2 linked regions of the Rhinolophus ferrumequinum genome follow. The protein of the gene in region 2 binds, or shares a complex with, the protein of the main gene of each other region. Links are inferred from orthologs where the notes say so. Each region holds a gene or a part of one and is shown on either strand. Other genes may lie near its edges.

Region 1 (11,501 bases), on a different chromosome or scaffold from region 2:
TCAGGACTGGGTGTGACAGATGTCTGGTTCAGTTTCTGTCTGGGAAACAAATTAAGGAGATGACATACAATTGCATATGATATCCTCTGATATAGAAAAGGTATTATCAGGTTAAGCACATGTGACCATTATCGTGACACATCATACGTGGTTCAGCAGCATTCATTCAGCAGGCCTACGCTGTGCACCGCGTATTTGTCACTGTAACTAGGCATAATTCCAAACTCGTATTGTGCTGTCTTCCTACCAACACCTATACAACTACTCAGACATGTGCCTTCAAAACTCATTACTACTGACTCGGTCTTCCGTTTCAGTGCTGTGTCAATGCTGGTGTGGAAAGAATGTTCCATATCTTGGATGATCTGTGAAATCCAGACATAAAACAATAGCATCGGGAGAAAGTGAACTACCTTTTTGCAGAATACCATTTGCTTGTTAGGGAGAAAAAGTTAACTATTTGAAAAGACAAAATGTATCATCGGTATGGTTTGGAAACTAGTTTTTTATTTAAAACTGAAAATCCTAGAGAATAAAGAACTTGTAGTTGTAAAACTTTTTAATTGCTTAGCTTTTAAAATCTGCCCATTTCTCACACCGTGTGTGTACCCTGAGGGGATGTGCCCTGTGTTTTTTCATTTAAACTATCTCGCAGCTTTAAGTTCTCATTTTCGTCACTTGGTAGCCTTTGCCAAGAGAATTAACCACTCCTACCCTCTGGTCCATTTCTGTACCATAGAGATAAGACCCTCTGCCACACTTGATTGGGTCCATGAATAGTTAAGGAATATCACCGTACTCTTGCCTAGCACCTTGAATGAGGCAAGCACATACCTTACCGTCTTTTCATATTCACAAGGAACATGAATAAATGGTAGAGGGTCCTGAGACAAGAGGTTAATTCACTAAGAGACTGGTCCATCGTCAGAGTCAATGAGTAATGCAACTTGGAGCTCCAATTCAGATCTTCAAATTCTAAATCCAGTGATCTCTCTATTATACCATGTTTTATTTATTTGTTTTATTTATATGTTGATTTATGTTACTATGCATGGATTGTGTTTCTTCATTTGATTTATTTTGAACATTTACTCTGGTTTTCCCAAGATGTTGGAACATTTCTCTACGTGTTTGGAAATCTGGGTGGTAAGAAGGCATTTGTCAGCTAGTCATGTCATCAGCTTTCCCACCTTTCCATTAAACCAGTATTTTCTAGACAGTAAGGTACTATATACATACAAAGCATCATTTAGTTTGATAAATAAAAGATGAATGATGAATGGGCAAACACATTTGTGCACCAGCCATCTTATCTCACCTGTGGAGCAGGTTTACCTAACCAGTCATGGGCACACAGAGAATAACTGGCCCTTTGCCCGGCTACCCAGGCTGACAGACAGTGCAAAGGGTCATGAGTTTCTGTCTCTCCCTCAATCTCCCACTGGGCTCCTTGAATATCAAGCCTGGGACCAGGAGAGAAATAAGTACCTGTCATCATAGGAGGAGATCCTCTTGCCATCCATGACTCTGGAAGGAGTGAGGGAGAGCAGGCTGAGGGAGTAGAGCTTCTGCAGGAAGTGACCCTCTAGAGAAACAGAGGGGCACAATGCAGTTATCCTCACGGTGGAAGCAGGGCCTAGCCCAGGACACAAAAGACCGGGCACAAACTCACCTCTGACCTTGGCATCCTTACTGAAGCGCCACTGAGGCACAAAGACGGTTATGTCCCGGTGGCCACGGTCCCAGAAGTACTGCACAGCAATGGCGATGCCCCGGCTGGAGAAGTAATGCTGGAGGCCGTGCCTGCAGTGGGAAGGGGTCGGCACGCTGGGGCCCCAGAGCAGGAGAGCCTGGCAGCCTAGATGCAGTGCTCGCCCCTCAGCACATGGCCCCAACGTGAATAAAACTGCCCGTCTCCCCCTTCCCCACTGGGTACTCACACCATGGCTACGTTGCTGCCATCAATGACAATATGGCGGAGATCTGGCTGGCCAGGTACATTGGCAAGGCACAGGGTGAAAGGATCCTGCAGGGCCTCCTGGAAACGCTGAGTGCCAGTCACCAAGTTGCCCCCCCGGGTGCCTCGTTTCCACGGAGACCCCCGACCTCGAGCCACAACCTGCTGCTTGTCTGCCCTGTCTCCTCGGTCTCCACAGTGCCACGGGGGTTCAGGTGCAGGTGGGGGGCTAGGCACTCTAGGAGGTGAGGCCTCCCCATTATGGAGCCGCTGGAGGAGAGAGGCTCCCCGGGGCTGTGCTGCCCTCTGACAGGGGCCCTGGGCACCAGAAGACTCACCCTGGACACAGAATCGTCCACTTTCCTGAGGCACTCCCTCCTTTCCCAAGGTTTTCCCCTTCAGGAGGCCTGCCTGCCTTGCCTCTCCTCCCCCTGACTGTGACCTAAAGGCCACTTCTCTTTCCCAGGCCTCTTCCCCAGGCAGCTCCTTCCACCCCAAATCCATCTCCCTGGGACCACCCTGCTTCCCTCCCTCCTTCTCCACAGCATATCTCTCTGCCCTTGACTCTTGCCACCCCATAGGTCCAGTGTCCAGGGACTCCCTGCCTTCACTCAGGGGAGCTCCAACTCCCTGGTACTGAGCACCCAGCAGACCTGGGCTCCCCCCCTCCCAAGAGGGAAGTGCTTGGGGCCCCTGCCCCCTGGATGCCTCCTGCACGAGGCTCAGCAGTTCCTCCTGGATAGCCAGGGGCAGCTGCAGCAGGGCTTCTCTGTGGGCATCCTCCCGGGGCTGCAACAGGGCACAGAAGTCTCTCAGCACTCCAGCACACTGAGAGGCTCCAGGGGATGGCCCTGGCCGAAAGTCCCAGGTCAGCTGCTTCACCAGCTCCTCCACTCGGCTCTGAGCCATGACGAATGCCTCGGTCAGGCCACTGACCATGAGCGAGCCGGGTTCCCTAGGTACCAGGTGGGCTGACGTGCTCCAGACCAGGCAATCAAGGAAGAAGCCCTGGGCCCCCAAAAAGATGCAGTGTAGTTTGGGTGGGTAGTGGATTTCATCCTGTAGCTCCGGGCTACAGAGACCCTTCAGGTACTCCTGGAGGGAAAGAGGGGAAGGTAGGAAAAAAAGAGACTGCTGGAATCTTAAGTGGCCCAGTAGCCCCTGCAGGCTCATTGCTCTCCCCTGAGCTCCAGGATGCCTGGGCAGAGCAATGGAGCCCCACAGATCCTGACAAAGGTGGGGGTTAAAAAGGGATCAAGAATCTCACTTTTTTCTCTTTCCAGCTGACAGCCTGTGGCTAGTATTTCCATGTAGAACTCGACTCACTTTAAGATACAATTATAATTAATTGGTTACAAGACTGTCTCTCTAAATATTTACATGTGTATGTGTGTTATATATTTCCATCATAATGATCACCATTGCTAACTTTTACTGAACTCATGCTTTATCTCATTCATGCTTTACCTCATAAGCCTAATGAGGTAGACACTATTATTCACATTTTATAGGTAAGAAAATTGAGACTCAGGTCACAGGGCTGGTAGGTGGTAGGGCTATACTGGAACCCAGGCCTGGCCTCCCACCCTACAACGAATTCCTTGGTGGGGCCTTCTTGCCCAGCCGGATTGTCTCTGCTTTCCCAAAGAGCACAAACTGATTTGAATTGAATCACTTGTCTGTTCAAGTCCTGGCAGAAGCTGGGTCATCACAGCAGAAATAAAACCAAAACTCCAAATACAAAGTTGGAAAGTCTCTCAAAGCTCAGGACTACTGACTGAGGTTGCCAGTAAGACAAGCAAGGAGTGGAGATCCTCCCCAGGCCCTCCTCTCCCCAGCCTCTGAGTGGAGGAGGCATTGTTCCCGGAAGGGTCAGGGAGGGGCTTTCACCTTGGCTCTGCTGGCATTCTCCTTGGGGCCCTCCAGCTGCAGCCAGATGTGAGGGTTCTCCGGGCAGTCCTTCGGGAGGACGCTCATCCCTACGCGGAAGATGCGCTCCACGTGGGGTTGCTGCCGCTGCACCTTGTCCTCGGCCTCCGCAGACACGGCAAAACGGTCAGGGGACGCGGAGCCAGCCCCCCAGGTAGGCATGGCTGCTTGGCCACCCAGCCCTGGAATTAGGAAAGGCAGCTCAGAGCCTCGCCGACCCCTCAACCCAAACCTTGGTCTCCAGGCCAACACCAGCTATCAACAGGTCTCACCTAGTTGCCGATCTGGTAAACACCCCAGGAGATTTGGGGCCATCTTCGGGGTAGGAAGAGAATGTCAGATTAAAGGGACACAGGCCTTCCCTGAAGAGGAAGTCGTAGATAAACAAGACTCTCTCTGGGATGGGCGTCTGGCCTTTGGAAAAGGATGACTACAGCCCTGAGCAGGAAGCGGGGTGGGGGGCTCCAGCTCGCTCTGGGGCCATTAGAAGTGGAAGGATGACGAAAGATCCCTCTTCTCGGGGGATTCTGCAATCACCGGGTCCAAGACGGGCTCTTAAAGATGGATCCTCACCAGGGTTTGAACTGGGCTGTCCTCTGGGATCCCTCGCCTGCCATTTCCAAGGTTCTAGCCGCTCTCACCCCTCCCCCTCCCTCTGCTGCCGTCCCCACGGTCGCGCCAAGCGCCCCACCCAGGGCCTAGGGGTCGAACCGAGCCCCGCCCCCGGCGGCGCTCAGCACTGCGGCCTTCGGCTCCCGCGGCCCGGGCGCGCATACCCGCCTCGGCCGCCCGTTGTGGCCTCTCCTGCCGGTGCCTCTAGGTGCCCGCCGGCCCCAGCTTCGCCCGCGCCCCCGGCCCAGGGGAGAAAGGCGGGGGGCTCGAATCTGGGCGGGCCTTCCCGGATTTCTCACCCAACGGGGACCTCTCTTCTCCACATCTCGAACTGTTTTTTGAGTCACTTCCTGGCCCGGGGCGGAGTCAGCCGGGCCCCTCCCGGGACTGGGCCTGCACCGGGGCCCCGCGCGCGCCCACCCCCGCCCCGCCCCTCCGGGCTCCTCCGAGCTCCGGGCGTCGGCCCCGCCCACTCGCCCTCAGTTCTCTGGGTCCCCTACGTCTTCTCCCGGTTCCTCTGGGTTCCCGCTGGTTCTCCGCAATTCTCAGGAAAGAGGAATCACTCTGAGAGTCGGAGGTGAAGACAGCCTTAAAGGGACTAATGCAGTCCCTTCGGATGAAGTTATGGAAGCCCAAAGAGGGAAAGAGACTGGCCCAGCGTCACAAGACAGTGACACCGTTGGCCCAAGCACTTTCCACCAAAACAGTTGTGGGGGAAAATACAAGGGCACTCCTTTCTAGCGATGGAAAAGATGCCACTGAGTGCTGTGGACCTGTGAGGGATTTTGAAGAGGGGAGGAATGAGGTGGAGGAAGGGGCTGTCGGAGCTGTCTCTTGCACATCCGCACACTCTCACACACACACATCCACGTTCTCTGTGGTTCCAGTTCCAGCCTTCAATGCTCTCTGGAGAAGCTGCCCTGGGGTTCTGGCTGCAGCCCTCCTGTCTGACTGCTTCATCCCTCCTTTCCCTCCCAGAGCCCAACTGCTGTCATTTTGTGCCCTGCCAAGGAGGAGGGAACAGCAGTGACAGCAGGAGAGGCATGACAGAGTTGTGGGGCACAGAGAGGTATGGAGAGGGAGATTCTGAGACCAGGTGACAGACCCAGAGAGAAGGCTGAGGAGCAGAGTGAGGGGTGTTGAGAGTCTGGGGGAGAGTGGAAAGTGAAAGGAGCAGAAAAGGAGGCAGAAGACAGGAAGTCTTGCTGGTCACAGAGCCACTCAGCCATGCTGGTAGCAACGCAACATTGGCTACAAGGTCTCACACCCACCCCTGGGCTGCCCTTGGCCCTGATGCTTCTGGCCCTGGGGACTGGATGGGCCCAGGAGGGGGCAGAGCCTGTCCTCCTAGAGGGCGAGTGCCTGGTGGTCTGTGAGCCCGGCAGAGCTGCTGCAGGGGGCCCTGGAGGAGCTGCTCTGGGAGAAGCGCCCCCTGGAAGAGTGGCATTTGCTGCAATAAGAAGCCACCACCACGAGCCAGCAGGGGAGATCATCAATGGCACCAGTGGGGCCATCTACTTTGACCAGGTAACCCCTTACCCTGCCCAGACCTAGAATCAACTGTCCAAGCCCACTCTGCTGTTAAGGAAACAGCCTCCTGCTGTGGCCAGTTGCCCCGCAACCCCACTGCCCATCTTCTTCCCCTTCACTCCTACCCATACCCCTCCTTGCCCTTTCTCACCAATTTTGTGGGTTTTTTTGAATCATGCATTCCTCCTTTTGGCAGCTACTTGCCATCCCTTCTTTTCGTTACTCACCGCCCTGTCCCTCAACCCAGTGGTTTTCCTGAGCCCCAGGTGACCCTAGCCCACTCAGCAGTGTCTCCTTCCCCTAGGTCTTGGTGAATGAGGGCGGTGGCTTTGATCGGGCCTCAGGCTCCTTCGTAGCCCCTGTCCGGGGTGTCTACAGCTTCCGGTTCCACGTGGTGAAGGTGTACAACCGCCAAACTGTCCAGGTGACCTGAGTGCTGGGCCCTGTCCTTGACCCTGTCCTGGCTTGGGAGGGGTGAGGAATAACCAGAGCCCAGCAGACTCCTGGACAGACCCTCCATTGACCTGTGTCCTGGGGGACCAGGAGCAAGGGCGGAAAGGGCTTACATAGCAGAGAGTGGAGGACCTGCAGAGTCCAACACTGACCACCCCTCAGCCCTCCCAGGAGAGAGCACTGAGCCCCAGGTTCCAGAGTATTCCTCTGGGGCTGGGGCAAAGAGGGGAAGCCCTCAGAAAAATGGGGTTCTAGGACAAGGGTTGGGGAGAAATGCTAACTGGGCTCCCTCCCCAGGTGAGCCTGATGCTGAACACATGGCCTGTCATCTCAGCCTTTGCCAACGACCCTGATGTGACCCGGGAGGCAGCCACCAGCTCTGTACTACTGCCCCTGGACCCTGGGGACCGGGTATCCCTGCGCCTACGTCGGGGGAACCTGCTGGGTGGCTGGAAATATTCAAGCTTCTCTGGCTTCCTCATCTTCCCACTCTGAGGGCTCCAGGACAAGAATCTAGCCCCTGACCTCGGTCCTCTTCCCTCTCCTGCCCCAGAAGAAGCATCTTTGGGACAGGAGAGAGGCTCCCTCTGGCTGCCTGTATTCCACCTCCTTGCATGGGACCCTGTGCCAAACACCCAAGGTGATGAGTAGAGCTATGGTGTCTTGGGACCTCTTACATACACACACACACACACACACACACACACACATACGCCCTCATAGCCTGCCACGGCATCTCTTTGTGTCTACAGTCCTAGGATCAGAGCAAGGTTTGGCAGATAGAAAGGCCTGAGCTACTTTGCAGACTCTGCTCCCCTGGCCCCACCCCTCCCCCAGCTTCTTGCTCAGAGCTACTTGGGGGCATGTGGCACAGGTGAGCCTAACAGGCCCCCACAGAGGCCCAGATGGACCAGCCTCGGCATACCCAGCAGGCTCCTTCCTGTGAGGAGTGCCAGCATCACGGAGCTCTGCCAGCATAGTCAGGAACTGAGCCAGCACCATATGGAGGCTCAGCCACCAACAGAAGTGTGGGGAGGGCCGCAGAGCAGCCCAAAGCCTAGGGCTGGTAGGGCAGGAAGAAACATGTGCCTAGCCTGAACAAGGTACACATTTTTTATGTACACTGGGGCAGCCAGCAGGCAGTGAACCTGGGTGTTCATCTGTACCAGTTCCCAAATGGACTCTGGCCCTCACGTCCCCCCCGCCGAGACATGGGTTGTGTATGTGTTTGCTCTGGCTGACAGTGAGTGTGTACAGTGCTCCCTCGGGCAGCTGCAGATGAGGGTAAAAGGTCATGTGTGGGCAAGTGTAGATCTCCAGGCATGGCACATATCAATGACCATAGCCAACTCCCGAAACTCCACCTTTGTAGTCTGAACTTCAATCACTTCACATCCTGACCACCACGTCCTTCCTCCCAACTCTCTCAGTTAATCTTCACTGTACCTGTTCCAGACTATCCCATAACCTCTCTTCTTTCTTCTGATCTGTCCTATGTTATCCTCCTTCTTAAACTTCCTATTACCTTGGATTCCATGATCCATCCCTTCACCCACTCTCCTGCCAGTTTTATAAACTCTCTTACCTTGCTGTCCCATTGGCCTAGCATGGATGACTCTATCAATAAAGTAACTAGAGAATGATGGGTGATGAGACACTCTAGGATCACTAAAGATAAAAGATGCCATTACAATTCGAATCAGGTTACAGGATATAAGCTGGTATGTTGTAGAGAAAATAAATGTAAAACTATGTTAGAGTCAAATAAAAAAGGATTTACTAATGTTTGAATTAAATAGGAAATACCAATGTGAATTTGTGGTTTTCAAAAAGAAATAACTTTCTCGCTAAAATGTAGCATAGAAACAACATTAGGAAAAAATCTAATATACATTCTTAGCACCTGGATCTTTGCCTCAAATATTATTCACTTTAAAAGGACTCACGGTTCCTTGGAAAATCGCTCCATATCTTAAATAACTCTAGGCCTGGAACATATTGATGACAAAAAGCAAGGGTACTTTTTCAAATGTATAGGGTGGAGCTGAAAAGGCAAAGGAACCAATTTTAAAATATTTCCACCTGACATTCTGTGACAATTTGGTAATCAAAAGGAAAATAATATAGTTAATTGGAACAAGGTGAATTTGTAAAAATTATGACTAATGATACTCCAAAAGGAAAAAAGTCACTATAAACTGTGCAAAAAGATAATTAACCTACTGAGTGAAGAAGATTAAATATAATAGGATATTTTTAGCTAATTTTGATGAGTAGAAGAGTGTAAATATAGTAGGTATTTTAACTTTTCATAAGGTACATTTACTTTTCTTTATCTGTATATGAGTAAGTAGGGAGGGGTGGATATGGAAAGCTGTGAGTAATTCCAGAAAAGGTTGGAACTGTACCAAGAATGAAAGAGACTGATTGGCACCATCTGGTCATATATTACAACTAAGAAGAAAGAAAATCCAACAGTGTGTTACAAGATGATGAATTAGTCAAATGTCCTGAAGATAACTGCTCACTGCTCAAACTTCATCCTTCCTCTCTAGGGAAAGGGAGCCTCTATATTATTCTACTAATTGTAATGAGATTATAGGAAAGGCAGTATAACCCAAAATAATAATGCCTTAAGCAAGATAGATTATTTCTGTCTCACACAGAAGAATCTGCAGATAAAGGGTCCAGAGATGGATGGCAGTTCTTTTGGGTTCCTAGACCCAATTCCAATGTGTGGGGGGAAGGAAAGGTCGCTTCCCATACAACACCAAGCAATTCTCGGAGACCAGTGAATTCCACTTAATTCAACACAATTCAGACATTATCTACCTGGATACTGCATCAGATTCCACAGGTTAAGGGGTCAGTCCCACAAGACTGCCCCCAAACTCCACCCCTTACTTTAGACCCCAGCCAGAAGCACAGGCTGTTAATTGCGCTCTGACCAGCCATTCATAGACTGGAGGGCCCAATGACCCCCTCCTTGGCAACTCAATCTAGACACCAGTCTAAAATCCAGGTTGTGCTTCTGATCAACTGGCTAGATTCCAGTGTTAAACAAAAATATTTTAACTTACATGACTGACAGTGTTTTCGAAAGAAAGGGTTTATTAGGCCATTGCTAGCAAAAAAAGAAGACATGTCTTGGGGCATGGAATCTAAACCATCAGCATTATGGCTACGTAGAAAAGATAACATGTCCAATGTCCAGCAGTTTTGCAAGTATGTGTATATATCAAGGAAGGGGCAGATAGGTGTAAGTCATTCTGTAAGGATTTGCATTCGCTATAGATAAAGGTGCTGGGTGAAGGTGAAGCAGGGCTAGTGCTGATATGGGCACAGCAGAGTCCATAAGGCTCATGTACAAATAAGAAACGGAGACTCGTGGGGTTCCACAGCACCCAGCTATTCTCTCTTTTGAATAATCACAGAAATAGTCAGCTGGAAATTAATCCTAAATTCCAACAAATACACAGGAATGTGAGCAGTCTTTGGTCATAGCTGGTCCACTACTATCAACAGGCTAAGTGTTCTGTCTCTTTCTCTCACTCTCTGGTTGCTGTAGTGTTCATTTAGAACATCTCAGAATTTTTTCTCTTGTCACCAGTGACCCCCCCTTGGGTTCAATTAATTTGCTAGAGAGTCTCACAGAACTCAGAGAAACATGTTACTAGACCACTGGTTTATTACAAAAGGATATGATTCAGGAACAGCCAGATGGAAGAAATACATATAGCCGTCATGGGGAAAGGGCTTGGAGCTTCCATGCTCTCTTTAGGATCCACTCTTGCAAGTGTTCACCAACCTGGAAGCTTTCTAAACCCTGTCCTTTTGAATTTTTACGAAGGCTTCATTTCATAGGCGTGATTAATTCAATCACTGGCCATAGGCAATTGAGTCAACCTTCAGTAGTCCCACTCCCCTTCCCAGAAATGGAGGAGGGGGGCAGTGGGAATGAAAGTTCCAACCTTCTAATCATATGGTTGGCTCCATTGGTAACCAGCCCCCATCCTGACGTGCTTTCCAAAAATCACCTCCCTAAATAACAAAAGGTACCTTTTTCATTCTTAACACTTAGGAAACTCTAAGGTTTTCAGGAGCTATGAACCAAGAATTGTGTGGAAGAAGACCAAATATATATGAGAAATGGTCCTCTGAATGACCAAATATATATTGCTGAATGACCAAATATATATTTCTTATAAATCACAATATTGCAGCAATTTTGAGATCATCACAGCCCGGTTTCCCTTCTTGCTGCTCTACCATCTGCACTATACGAGTATCACCTCCTGACAAGATGGCTCCTTGAGCTTAACCACTATATCGCCTTACAGCCCCCAGGAAAGAAGGAGTAAGGAAGAAAGGGCACACCACTTTCCTTTAAAGAGTCTTTCTGAAAGGCACACCTAACATTTCTGACTGCATCTCACTGGCTGGAATTTAGTCACGCATGGCCACACCAGGCCAGAGAGAAACAGTAGGAAATAGAGTTTTTATTCCAGGCAGCCAGGCCCAGCTAAAAGTCAGGAGTATTGTAATAAGGAAGAAGAGGACGTTTGACACTGGGAAAAACAACTAGAAGTTTTTTAAAACGCAAACGAGCTAGATGAATTTGTAAATAATGTTAATACAGTTGTTGTACTTGTTTTCTATTACCATGTAACAAATTGCATAAAGCTTAGTAGTGACTTAACACAACACCCATGTGTTATCTCAGTTTCTGTAGGTCAGAAGTCCAGCAGGGCACACGTAGATTCTCTGCTCAGAGTTGCAAAAGGTCAAAAGCAAGGTGTAGGCAGGACTACCTTCCTTACTGAAGTGGGAGAATCCACTTCCAAGCTCATTCAGAATTCATTTCCTTATGGTTGAAGGGAAGCAGAGTTTGCCACCCCAAAATATGCCTTTTTGGGATATTGATTATTTTAGGCTGATTAATTTCAAGAAACAGCACACCTGGGAGAAGCTCTGAAAACCGGGTGAAAGTTACCCTCCGTAAAGGACATTTACATTTGTT
Region 2 (11,675 bases):
CAGGATATACACCAACATCATGATTGAGGTTGCTTCTGGGAAGAGGGGCAAACAACAATAGGGAAGAGGGGAAAAAAAAATAACATTAGGTCTGTTATGGCTTTCATTTTATTTTAAAAGGAACAAAAATGAAAAATGTAAATATTTATTTTTGGAGGTGAACTATAACTTACAATTCTGTATATAACTTTTGTTATATTATATACTCAGGATATATATACCTTTTATTATTATTATTATTTTTTTTTAAGGATATATATACTTTGATGCCTGTATATTCTTTGCACTTTTGGGTTGTTTTTTTCTTCAATTTAAGAAATAGTCAACTAATTCTCTTTTCATCTACCCACCCCCCATGCAAAGTTTCAATCAACCGCAGGGAGAGAAAGGCATACAAACAGGAAAGAGCCCAGAGGAAACAGGCATATTAGCAGAAAAACCACAAAGCTTAGTTGAAGACACTCAGAAAACCTGCTTTAAACAGTAATCATGCTTACAAAAAATAACTTGAATTAGTGAAAGATCACACTGCACACAGCTATTTGACAACATGACTAGCTGGTTAACAAGTCATGTAGATCTGGGTTCAACCCTAACTCTGCCAGCTATCTGCTATGTGACCTTCGGTCAATTTCTTCTAAACAGCTCTAGGCCTATTTCCTTACGTTGAAATGGGATTTATAATACCTACCTCAAGAATCAGGGTAAAGACTGACTTGGATACCATCTCTGAAGTGCTTATCAGAGTGCTTGGTACAGACTTATTTGTTCAATAAATGGTGTTTATTGTTTGTATCTGAACTGGGATTAGAATGTCACGCGTAGGCATGTATTTTAGCAAAGCAAATACAAATATCCAAACAGATGCACCAAAACAAGTAATTATCCAACACTGAAGAAAGTCAGCCCTGTTGTTGACTAAAAAGTATAGCTTAAAGCAATGTAAGAGAAAAGATGCAAACTACAGGATAGGAGAAATCCCATTTATGAATAACAACACTATAGAGGAAATTTTATAAGTCCAGCAAACAGAGAACAGTTTACCAAACGGAATGGTAATTTCAACATGGTTACCAATTGATCAACAGATCCCATTAAGCTGTAAGCCACAAAGAAAATCCTGCGACTCCCACACTTCAAGTTTTAGAAGATCAAGTTTTGTAAGTTGCTAAGAAAGGGGAATATTTTTAAAACACATACTTTTCTAGGTTTTAAGGCAAGAAAAAAAAATTCTTCTAAGGGTCCTTATTATGAGGACAAAATGTACATTAATGGATTAAAAATTTGTAATTCTCAAATTCAAAAGTGATATAAAGGAAATAAAAGTTAATGAAAAACATGACAAGACCAATAAATGTAAGAAATACGAATTTATCACTTCACTAAAAAAAAGGCTAATGAATTACCTGAAGGATTCATCCAAACATGCATTGACCAAATTATGCCTATATTTTATATATACTTTTTTTTTTTTTAATTGGGGAAGGGGAACAGGACTTTATTGGGGAACAGTGTGTACTTCCAGGACTTTTTTCCAAGTCAAGTGGTTGTCATTTCAATCTTAGTTGTGGAGGGCGCAGCTCAGCTCCAGGTCCAGTTGCTGTTGCTAGTTGCAGGGGGCGCAGCCCACCATCCCTGTGGGTCTGGAGGAATTGAACTGGCAACCTTGTGGTTGAGAGCTCACTGGCCCATATGGGAATTGAACCGGCAGCCTTGGGAGTTAGGAGCATGGAGCTCTAACCGCCTGAGCCACCGGGCCGGCCCTATATATACTTTTAAAATATAGAAAAGTTCAAGTTAACAACCCAATTTATGAGCTTAAAATGGCTTTGATGTTTCAAACCAGGCCAAAAAAATAATAATAAAATTCTTAAAACAAAAAACTAGTTTCTAAACATACTGCAAGAAACTGAAACAAAATTTCTAAATATACTGGATATGTGACATATTGAAACAATTATCGATTATGTCTGTGTAGACATTTTTTCCTGAAAATGAAAGTCAGATTATAAGACAATCAGGGAAATTTGAACACCAACTTGATATTAGATGATATTAAAATTGTAACTGTAAAACAACGTGATCACTGTGGTTATGTTATTAAGAGTCCTTATCCTTCGGCAATAAAGTTATTTATGAAGCAAATGATCGCCTTTTGGTTTAAAATAACACATTAGAGTTGGGGATAGGGATGGGGGAATAAATGAAATAAGACTGTCCATATTTTGAAAACTGGTGAAGGGAAATTTTGTATACATTTTCATATATAGATATGAAAATATCCATAGTAAAAAATTAAAAGATAAGAAGCATATGTATTTAAAACTTAGTTTAAAAGTCAACACTAGTTGGTGAAAAAATGTTCACAACAGAACAAAAAAAAAACAAAGCCCTCCAACTCTGTTATTCAGGATAGTGCTAGAATGTTCCTTCCTCTTCTTTCTCTCCTCCCTCCTCTCTTCCCTCCTTCCTTCCTGATTTCCCCTGTGCCTTAGATGTTTTCCTCTATACACATAACTTCCCCAAACCCAGAAACAGATTTTGAAACTGATGCCTCACAACATATTCAATAAATATTATTAACGCTGCATATTCAAGAACTTTTTAAAAAAAAGTTCAGTTTTGCCCTGAACAAATACATTTTTTAAAAATACTCTCTCATCCACCTCGCGCATTGAAAACATGTCTTTTGTATGTTTTATTACATATATTTGGGATGAGTAATCTAAAGTCTTTCGATAACAAGGGCATGATCAAAAGTTAGAACCACCATTTTGGACACTAGGACATCGCTTAAATTTTTTAAGGAGAGCCAACTGTGTAAAGTACTATATCAAGAAAAATAACTGAGCAGAAGTACACAGGGATGGAAAAGGTGGAGAGAAGGTTATGGTAGGAGAGAACAATTCACTAATTCAACAAGGCATTCATTCAGAAGTGAGACAGGAAGGAGGACCCGCAGGAAGGGGATAGGAGACTTCAACAAAAGGACTTGGTGATTAAGGTATTGTGAAGGATGAAGAAGGGTTTGGGGGGAGTGTCAGAGACCCTGCCCTGGGAAGAAGTTGAGTGTCAGAGACCCTGCCCTGGGAAGAAGTTGAGTGTCAGAGACCCTGCCCTGGGAAGAAGTTGAGTGTCAGAGACCCTGGGGGAAAGTGCCCAGGGGGGAGGAAGATGAGTTTGACTCTTTTATTAGCAGGATATTCAGGTAGAGATGCTCCTCAGACACTAGGAGAACCTAGATTCGGTTGGAAAGTCTGGGCAGCGGGGCGGTACACACGGGAGCCATCTTTGTAGATGTGACAGCTGACCCCAAGAGTGAGCTCTCTCAGGGAGACTTGATAGGTCAGAAGGCTTAACCCAAACCTTGGGGCACACCTATATTTAGAGGCAAAAAAAAAAAAAAAAAGAACAAGTGGAAACACAGCAAGAGCTGCCTGACAGGTAAGGCGCTCTATTTCAAAGTGTCCACAAGAGCGGGAGGTCAGCGGTTCCAGCCACCGCGGTGAGACTACGGGGAAAGAACACATCATTGGGATCCTTGAATAGGACCGTTCTAGTCAGGTGGTGTGGACGAACGTCCGATATCAGAAAAGCGACGATGAGGGGAATGCAGGCAGCTAGGCATGGAGGGCCAAGCAGAGACCCGCGGCCGGCGGCGGTGGAGACGCAACCGAGTGCGGAGCGCGGCGCCGGGTGCTGGGAAAACAGCAACGCGCCTAGGGATGGAGGTAGCAGGGAAAGATCCAAGAGTCCAGGGAGTGGGGACATTTTCCTTCGATCCCAAACCTGCCTCCAAATTCTCTAAGCCCTGGCGGACCCCAAAGTACTTTATTCTTCTGGGGGCGGGGAGTTAAGCATAGTCTTTGCCGGGGCCATATCGCGTTAGCCATATTCGAGAAAAGGTCTGGAGGCGCTAGAGGAAGGGAGCAGAGAAGTGAGGGGCTGGAGGAACAGGGTGTGGGGTAGGAGGAACCCCGAGGGCGCGCCCCTCGCGGACAGCAGCCCCGACAGTCCTCGCAGCCCGGGCCCCGCGGAACCGCCCCTCCTTCGCAGCGCACTCACCGCTCCGACTGCGAATAGTGGCATCGGCCCAGCAGGTTGAGCTTGCAGAGGTGCAGGTTTCCGCAGCTTTTCTGGCAGAACTTGCGACGGCAGACCCGGGCTCCGGTAGTGGCCACCACGGACCGGGTGACCCCGGCCCCGCCGCCGGTCTCCAATATCACGAAGCGGTTGGGCCCGGCCGCCTCCAGCACCTCGCAGAGCTGCGCCTCGGAGAGCACGATCTCGTCGAGCAGCGCGTCCAGGGCCATGCGGCCCCCGTGGGCGCACAGGATTTTGGTGATGAAGCAGCACACCTCAGGGTCCGCCATGGCTCTGCTCTGGCCAGGCCGCGAGGCGCGGGACTCTGCTCCGGGGAGAATCGAAACTTACAAGAGCCCCGGGGGCGGGGGCGGGCGCGGGCGGTGCTCGAGTTGGGCGCGCCACGGGCCCGCGAATGCGCGCTCCCCGCTGTTAGCGGAGCCCAGAGGTTTCGGTTTCCCGCTCGGCTCTGGGTCCCCAGGACCGAGGTCACCAACCCGATCCCTGCGTCAGATGTAAAGTCAACCGCGACGGCAACCGAATGGAAAGAAAGCGAACAGCGCACGGGCGGATCTGCTGGCGACCGTGGCGGCCACCCGTACGGCTCCCGCTGAGTTCTAGCCCCCGAGAGGGTGAGGTTCCCCAGCTGGGCAGGGTGAGGCTTCTTCCGAAAGAAGAGAAAGTAAAAATGATACTGAGGCGCTTTTATAAGCCAGCCGAAGTGGCGAATGACGCGAGTTTTGGAGCCCTCTTGAGGAGTCTTCTCTCCACCCCACCCATCCGGGAAAGAACACATCTAGTGAGCACTTGCTCGGGGCTGGACGCCCTGCCGCCGGTATTAATCTTCTTAACAACTCCACGAGTTAGGTATTGTTGTCCTCACTTTGTGTTTGAGGAACAAACGTGAGCAATACGCACAGCAATCATGCTGGAACCCGGACACTACTGAAGTGCCCCAAATCTGGCTCCCAGACCCCAGATCGTGGACCGCCTGGCTAGGGCCGATGTGCACGTTCTCCCATGGCATCGTGCCCACCTTAAAAAAAAGCGATTATTCCTCTCTCATTTGCCTTCTCTCGAGTTTTTTGAAGAACCATTTCTTGACCTTTCTTGCCTGCCTGTAATCGCTAACCTCGGTGCCCCAGGCATCGCTTCATTCTCCACAGCAAGCAGTCAGAGGTGCATGTTTGGACTTATCCCAAGTTTTCAGTTACGCTTCTCTCTTTAGACATTTAAACAAGCCCTTTTCCCCGTGTGGACCCAGTTGGGCTCCCAGAGTTTATATACAGATTATCTTACAGTGAAAACATTTGAGCTACAGAAGATGTTAAAGAAATTGTATCTGAAATTCTCTTACTCTTGACTAAATCAAAGCCTCCAGAAAATACAGCTACCATTAACCTTCCAAGGGAGTTTCCTGCTAATTCCGTTGCCCGGTGAAGACAGACTGCCCATTGTCATTAGCATCAAAAAACCCAATAGAACCTTCCATATCCTCCCCATTGAAGCCCTTAAAAAAAAAAACAAAACAAACAAAAAAAAAAAAACCCTTAAGTTGAGATATAAACTTTTGGCTGTTCCAGGAGTTTTTCCGTTACTGGGAGCTACCCAGCCCTCCTAAGGTATAAATAAATCTAGTCTTTCCTCCTGTTCATCTGTCTATTGTCAGTTAATTTGCAGGCCCCCAAGCCTGGACCCATCTTGGAAGAGGAAACAGTTTTTCCTCTCAGCACTCCCAAGTAAAATAAATGGGTCACTGATCAGATCAGAAATAAACCTTTTTAAAAAATGGTAGAATACGGTTGTCCGATTAGAAAGTCTTCAAAATGATCAACGCAAATTCTCAGTTTAGTAATTCGCGGTAGATGAACTGTGTCTCTCAAGAAGAGAATACTTTGGTATGAAAACCAGCCAAACCTGGGGCTCACTCAGGATCATCTGACTTCCTGTTCCCTCTAGCTATTACTTCTATAGTTGCCTTGATCCACGTGGCCTTATCTGTGTTCTGACTGGTTCCCAGCACAGGGCTTGCATTATCAAATCAATTAAGTTCAACATGGTATCTTCTGTGTGGTCTTACATTAGTCACTCTGAACATGCAGAAGTTTAAGAAATAGTCCCTACCCTCAAGGAGTTTGTGTTTGGGAAGACATGAAAAAGCATTCTAACATAAGGGAATCAGTTGTTAAAAAGAAAACCACAGGCCCAAAATGCATCCCTTATGCTAAAAACCCATGAGAGCAAACATAGATTTAACTGCAGTTTTACCCTCTCCCAGAAATAGTCTCAATCAGTCTAGTCAAGAACCAGTAAGATAATCTGTCAGTGAGCCCTCTCCACCCTCCGCGCCCCCAAAAGGAAGAAGAGGCGATCTGAATGATAAAATCCTTACCTTTTCTTTCCCCCAAAAAAGATGATGTCCTGGTCTAAAAATAATCCTTTCTCTCTTTTGCTAATAATGCCTACCACACCCTTCTGCCTATAAAAACCTTCCATTTTGTACAACCCTTCAGAACACCCTTCCACTTGCTAGAGGAGATGCTGTCCGATTTCTGAATCCCTTGATAAAGCCAATTAGGTCTTCAAATTTAGTCAGTTGAATTTTGCTTTCCAAAAGGTTAAATGCTGCAATCGGTGTATGAGACATTTGAGAAGAAAGAGCACAGTTTGGCTAGAATGGTTGGGAATAAAGATATAAAATTCCCCTCAATTTGAAGCCATGAAAAAATGATTTAAGGGATTGTGAGAAGGGAAAAAGCAGGCATTTTGGGCAATTTTGAAATGTGTGTTGTCACAGGTGGACTTCTCCAGGAAGCAGACACTGATATGAAGCTCAAAGCTCGGAATACAAAAGGTTTCCCAGGGTGTGACATCAGAGAAAGTCAAAGGAAGAAGCAACATTGGTCCCTGGGAGCTTTTAGATTGCCGTGCAGACCTCACAAGTCTGCCAGCCTGGCCACCACCTTGCTTGGTCATGGGGGAGAGGGGCACTACAGAAGTACTATGTTTTAGCTCAAGCACTGGGGCAGATCCTGAAGGAGCTAAAGCTGGAGGCTACGGCCTAAACACACTCCCTGAGTTGGGCAATAAGCCCTAACGTAAGGGGGATCTAAGTGACACACTATCTGCCATAGGCCACCCTTTGCGGCACCTGTATCTATTTCTCCATCTGTGTTCAGGGAACAGCTCCTTTAGGCCTCTGATGGCCCGCTCTTCCTGAAAGGAAACTTAGCAGAGGGAAGTCAATGGAATGAACTCTAGCCCCTGTCACAGCAACCAGCTGCAAAGCCACCACAGGCCTCATGCTCTACCTCTACCACTCTGCAGTCTAATTCCCCTCTCCCTCGATTACCACCTCAGGTTACTTGGGTGGGCACCTGAAATCCCCATTCCTAAGTGCTCCGACTACCTTCTCAGACTAGGGCTGTCATTCTTGTCTTGTCCATTCAGTCACAATCACAGCACCGAGTGCCAACTGACACCCAAATTATTAGTCACCCAAGTCCCCGCATATTCCTCCGGCTGTCTTAATAGTGGCCCTACTTCCTTCTGCTGAGTAGCTCAATTGCCACTGAACAGTTCTTTGTCTGACCTCTTAGTCTCTGACCACAAGGAGGCCAAAGAGCCTGGTGACAGCCATAACTTGTAATCCAGTGGAATTTTTACTGTTTTACTCCAGGCAAGAATGTGCCCCTTTGGGGGACCAAAAGCTCTAACCCTGCCGAGCCCAGAGTTGTGGAGACAGAGAAGTGCAAATGGGTCACAGGCATGAAGCTAATGGGGGTCACTCATGCTTCCACCCCTTGTTTCCAGACCCACGCACTCTTTCTATCAGGGAAACAGCACCATACTAAGTTGTGTGATGAAAGTCACATACTACGAAGTCCTGGAGGAAATGTCATCATTGCAATGTATTACCTCCATGCTGGAGCTTCAGCTGCAACAGTAACGGACCTTTATATATCCAGCAGCTTCTGGGGATAGGGTGTGTGATATGACCAGCAGATCCTATATTCATGGGCCCACTCCCCCACTCTCGGTGCCATAGACAGAGTCCTCTGGTCAGATGCTATGTTACATGGGATTCTAAGTCCGTGGATCAGATGATCTTTAAGCCCCCCGAGAGTGGTGCTACTGAGGCACTGCAGGCAAGGAAAGCAGCCCCACATTTGGAATCAGCGTCCATTCCTGTGAGAGCAAAATGCCCGCCCTTCCAGGGAAAAGGGGGCCCCAATGTAGTCACCTGGTCACCAAGTAGCCTCTTGCCTCCTCACCAAATATAAAAGCTGAGCATTGGTCTTTATGGCTGGCAGGTTGGACATGCAGAGGTGGCAGTAGCTATATTCGTTTTGGTAAATGACAGTCCATGCTGTTAGGTTTTTACATCAACCCCATCTCTGCCACCATAGCCTCCTTGTTCAGGTACCCACCATGTAGCAGTCGGGAGCGAGGGGGTTCTGACAAAGCCTGGCTCCATTAACTGGATAAGTTATTCTGTCTAGTTGGCACATCTTCTGTGATAGATACTTACTAGTGGACTTCAACATGTGATATACACAACTTCCCACTCTGAGTGCACTCCTACAGGTCCATCCATGTTCCTCTGCCCCACACCTTCTTATCTCTGATGTTATATCTGTTCCTTTCAGGCCCCCTACCCACAAGCCAAGCCACACATCACTGCCACGGATTCACATATGTTCTAACCGAGGGCCATTCTCCTTCCAGGCAGAGTGGACGCCCAGATGCACCTCCCAAAGCCCCTCCCACTGGGGCGATTTCCCCTCACCACTGTGTTCTAAGCGAGTGAGACTATAATACAGCCGCCGTCCGTGTCTCGCTTGCATGCACATAGTGAGACGACGACCCATCCAGAACTCGAGCTTGGTCTTGTCTTTCCTCTTTTAGCAATTTATGTGGGACCGCCTCGTATGGCCCTCGGTGTTAAGTTGGGGGAGGAGTGCCAGTGCAACTGTAATGAGTGACACGAAGATCCAGGCTACTTACTCCTCAGTGAGTACTGTGCTCCGTCCGGATGGTGCTCAGTCCCAGATGTACCTGTTTCGCCTCATGATGGCGATGATGCTGGGCCTGCCGGGCTTTATGATCTGACGTGTCAAATAGGACGTAGCTCGTGTGGGCCAAATCCAACCCACGGTCATTTGTTATCTCTACCAGTGCCCAGCAGCAAGCTAGGAGCTTCAAAAGGAGTGTAATTCTTCCCCGCAGTTGGCATAACCTTGTTCTATGATCCCAGGGGTCTGCATTCCGATTCTTCTGCTGGGACATGCCATTAAGGCAGCACTGCATGTCTTCCCGTCATTGACACTATCAACACTCTAGCCTCTGCCAGATGGTAGAGTCCAAGCAGAAGAGCTGTTTGTATCACAGTCTGGACCTGCTGCAGAGCTCTTTCTTTCCTGCTCCAAGCCCCACTCAAAGCTGGCCACCTTCCACGTCACCCAATACGTGGGTAGCAATAGTATTTGTAGGTGTAGCATGTGTTTCCTCAAGAACCCAAAGATTCCTAACAGGCTTTGTGCTTCCTTTTTCCTAGTAAGGGATCGAGATGCAGCAATGTCTCTTTTACCGAGGAGGAAATGTCCCAGCATGCTGCTGGCCATCAGGCCCCTCACATCTTTAGTGAAGTGGCAGGTCACGGAATCTTTGTAGGATTTAACTCCCACTCTCTGGGACCCGTGTCATATGAAGTCACTACCATGTGCACTGCCTTTTTCTCATCCTGCCTGAGCAGCATGGTATCACCAATGTCATGGGTCGAGGTGACGTTATGTGGGATGTCCAAAGTCTCCAGTTCTCTTGGGACTGTTTCAGGACAAAGGACTGAAGAGTGAACACAAAACTGTGGCAAAACTCTAAATGCTTGTTGGTACTCATTCTGTGTGAATATGAACTATTTCTGATCCTCTTTCCTGATTGGGATAGAAAAGAAAGCATTCGCCAAATCGACGGCTGCCAACCACGTAGCTGAGGCTGCGTAACTCCAAGCTAGCCAAGCCACTACAGCAGGCACAGCAGGTGTAGAGGGGTTGCACTTCTTGCAGTAGTCTGCAGTGATTCTCTAGGACCCATCCAGTTGCTGCAAGGTCAACACTGGCTAGTTATACAGAGATACAGGACAACATTTCTTCATCATTTTTATATTTAAGAGTGGCACTAATAGCTGTGGAGCCTAATGCTCTCGTGAGCCTTCTGGCCTTAACATCATGTATCTTTCCAGCATATCCACTTTGCTGAATCTTTTATCCTTTCTTTACTGTCTGCCCCAGAAATTTAGGCATTCCAACCTCATTCTTTGTAGGCCATCAATTTTCCAGGAGCCACCCAGCAACAGATTTGCGCCATCCTCTGGTTCTTCACAGGATGCTAAAGCTCAGAACCTGTGAGAGCACTCCTATGTCAATAAATTCTCCTGTAGACAGTCTTATATTCCAGCTCCCTTGGTACAGCAGGTTTGTTCAGAATTGTAAGGTATAAAATCAAAATGAGTCACTCATTTTAGAAGATTGACAAGGAAAGGAGAAGAGAGAAGAAAAAGGAAGAGGAATCATTCAGGCAGAGAGAGGGTTTTTTTTTGTTTGTTTGCTTGCTTGTGTATTAATGTTTTACTGGAAGATCTGGGCATATGTGAACATTTCAAAGACATAAATCTCGGGAGAGTGCAAAGCTGCAGTTTCTAGGGCATATTAGCATATGAGGCTACGAGATTACTTGAACCACCACCAGTTGAAAAGGGAAGCAAAACATACACAAGGCAGCAGTGAGTCAGCTATGCTAAGTCAGAGAAATGAAAAGCACATAAACACCAGAGGGTTGAGTCAGATGTCATGTCCAAAGTCCACGGTAAACAGATGTTCTCCAGGAGATATGGAAGTCCAGGGAGGCATTAGTCAGCCAGGCAGAGGAGGGTGGAGGTAAAGGGCCGGCAGAGGGGTTTTCCCTAGATTGAACCTGCCCAACAGCAAGCTCCCTGGGAACACGTGAACTGGGAGGGAAGAAGCTGTAGGTGTGGTGGAGGGATTGACTTTAGAGTAAGAAGGGCCGTTTCCCTCTTTGAAGGTAAATTTACAGACTTTGCTTTGGTGCTGTTCAAATGAGGAACTTCGGGTTGCAAGCCTTCTGCCGGGATGAAAGCACAGGCGATGAACATGTTGTACTCCAGAGGTGGGGCAATGGGAGGATGAGATGGCTTGCTGGTAGTCGGCTAGCCCCGAGGGAGCCCCCTGCCTCCTGGTATTTGCACCACTGTGTAGTCTTCTGCCACGTTCCATAGAACTGATCTGTGTAATCAACAGGATATTACAGAAGCAACAGTGTGAGTTTCAAGATGAGGTCATAAAAAACATGCTGACTTCCATATTGTTCACTCTCTCTGGGGAAGCCAGTAGTTATTGAGACAGGTTAGCTAGCATATCCCTAGGTAGACAGGGAGGTCCCTGGTGGAATGAACAAAGACAGCCATATCCTAAAACACCTTCGCTCCAGGACAAAATGTAACAACGCCTTGCGGTTAATCATAAAATTCCTTTTGGCCTGACAAATGGAGCAGATCTGATAGAGAAGAGTGGGTT

The links.
Region 1: the proteins of ZC3HAV1 (region 2) and KHNYN are in contact, whole or in part, in a crystal structure (PDB 9BGL), measured with the Homo sapiens proteins. The link is inferred for Rhinolophus ferrumequinum from reciprocal best matches to the Homo sapiens genes ZC3HAV1 and KHNYN. Residues at the interface, in NP_064504.2 of Homo sapiens: Glu5, Val6, Cys8, Phe9, Lys12, Ile13, Ala16, His17, Glu29, Ile30, Ala31, Leu32, Leu113, Glu115, Phe118, Ser127, Gly128, Leu129, Asn130, Glu133; in NP_001277186.1 of Homo sapiens: His651, Lys652, Asp654, Phe655, Gln658, Arg659, Pro661, Tyr662, Asn677, Phe678.

What each region holds. Positions count from the first base shown.
Region 1 is NC_046289.1:74,554,587-74,566,087, reverse strand, and holds the start of KHNYN (protein KHNYN), read right to left. Parts: upstream 4,889-11,501; 5' UTR 4,663-4,888; intron 4,639-4,662; exon of another isoform or gene 4,460-4,638; intron 4,202-4,459; coding exon 4,159-4,201; intron 4,069-4,158; coding exon 3,848-4,068; intron 3,053-3,847; coding exon 1,941-3,052; intron 1,804-1,940; coding exon 1,673-1,803; intron 1,586-1,672; coding exon 1,489-1,585; intron 1-1,488. Other genes in the region: CBLN3 (cerebellin-3), read left to right, coding at 5,726-6,025, 6,333-6,452, 6,779-6,976.
Region 2 is NC_046309.1:10,148,358-10,160,032, reverse strand, and holds the start of ZC3HAV1 (zinc finger CCCH-type antiviral protein 1), read right to left. Parts: upstream 5,561-11,675; 5' UTR 4,374-5,560; coding exon 4,066-4,373; intron 1-4,065.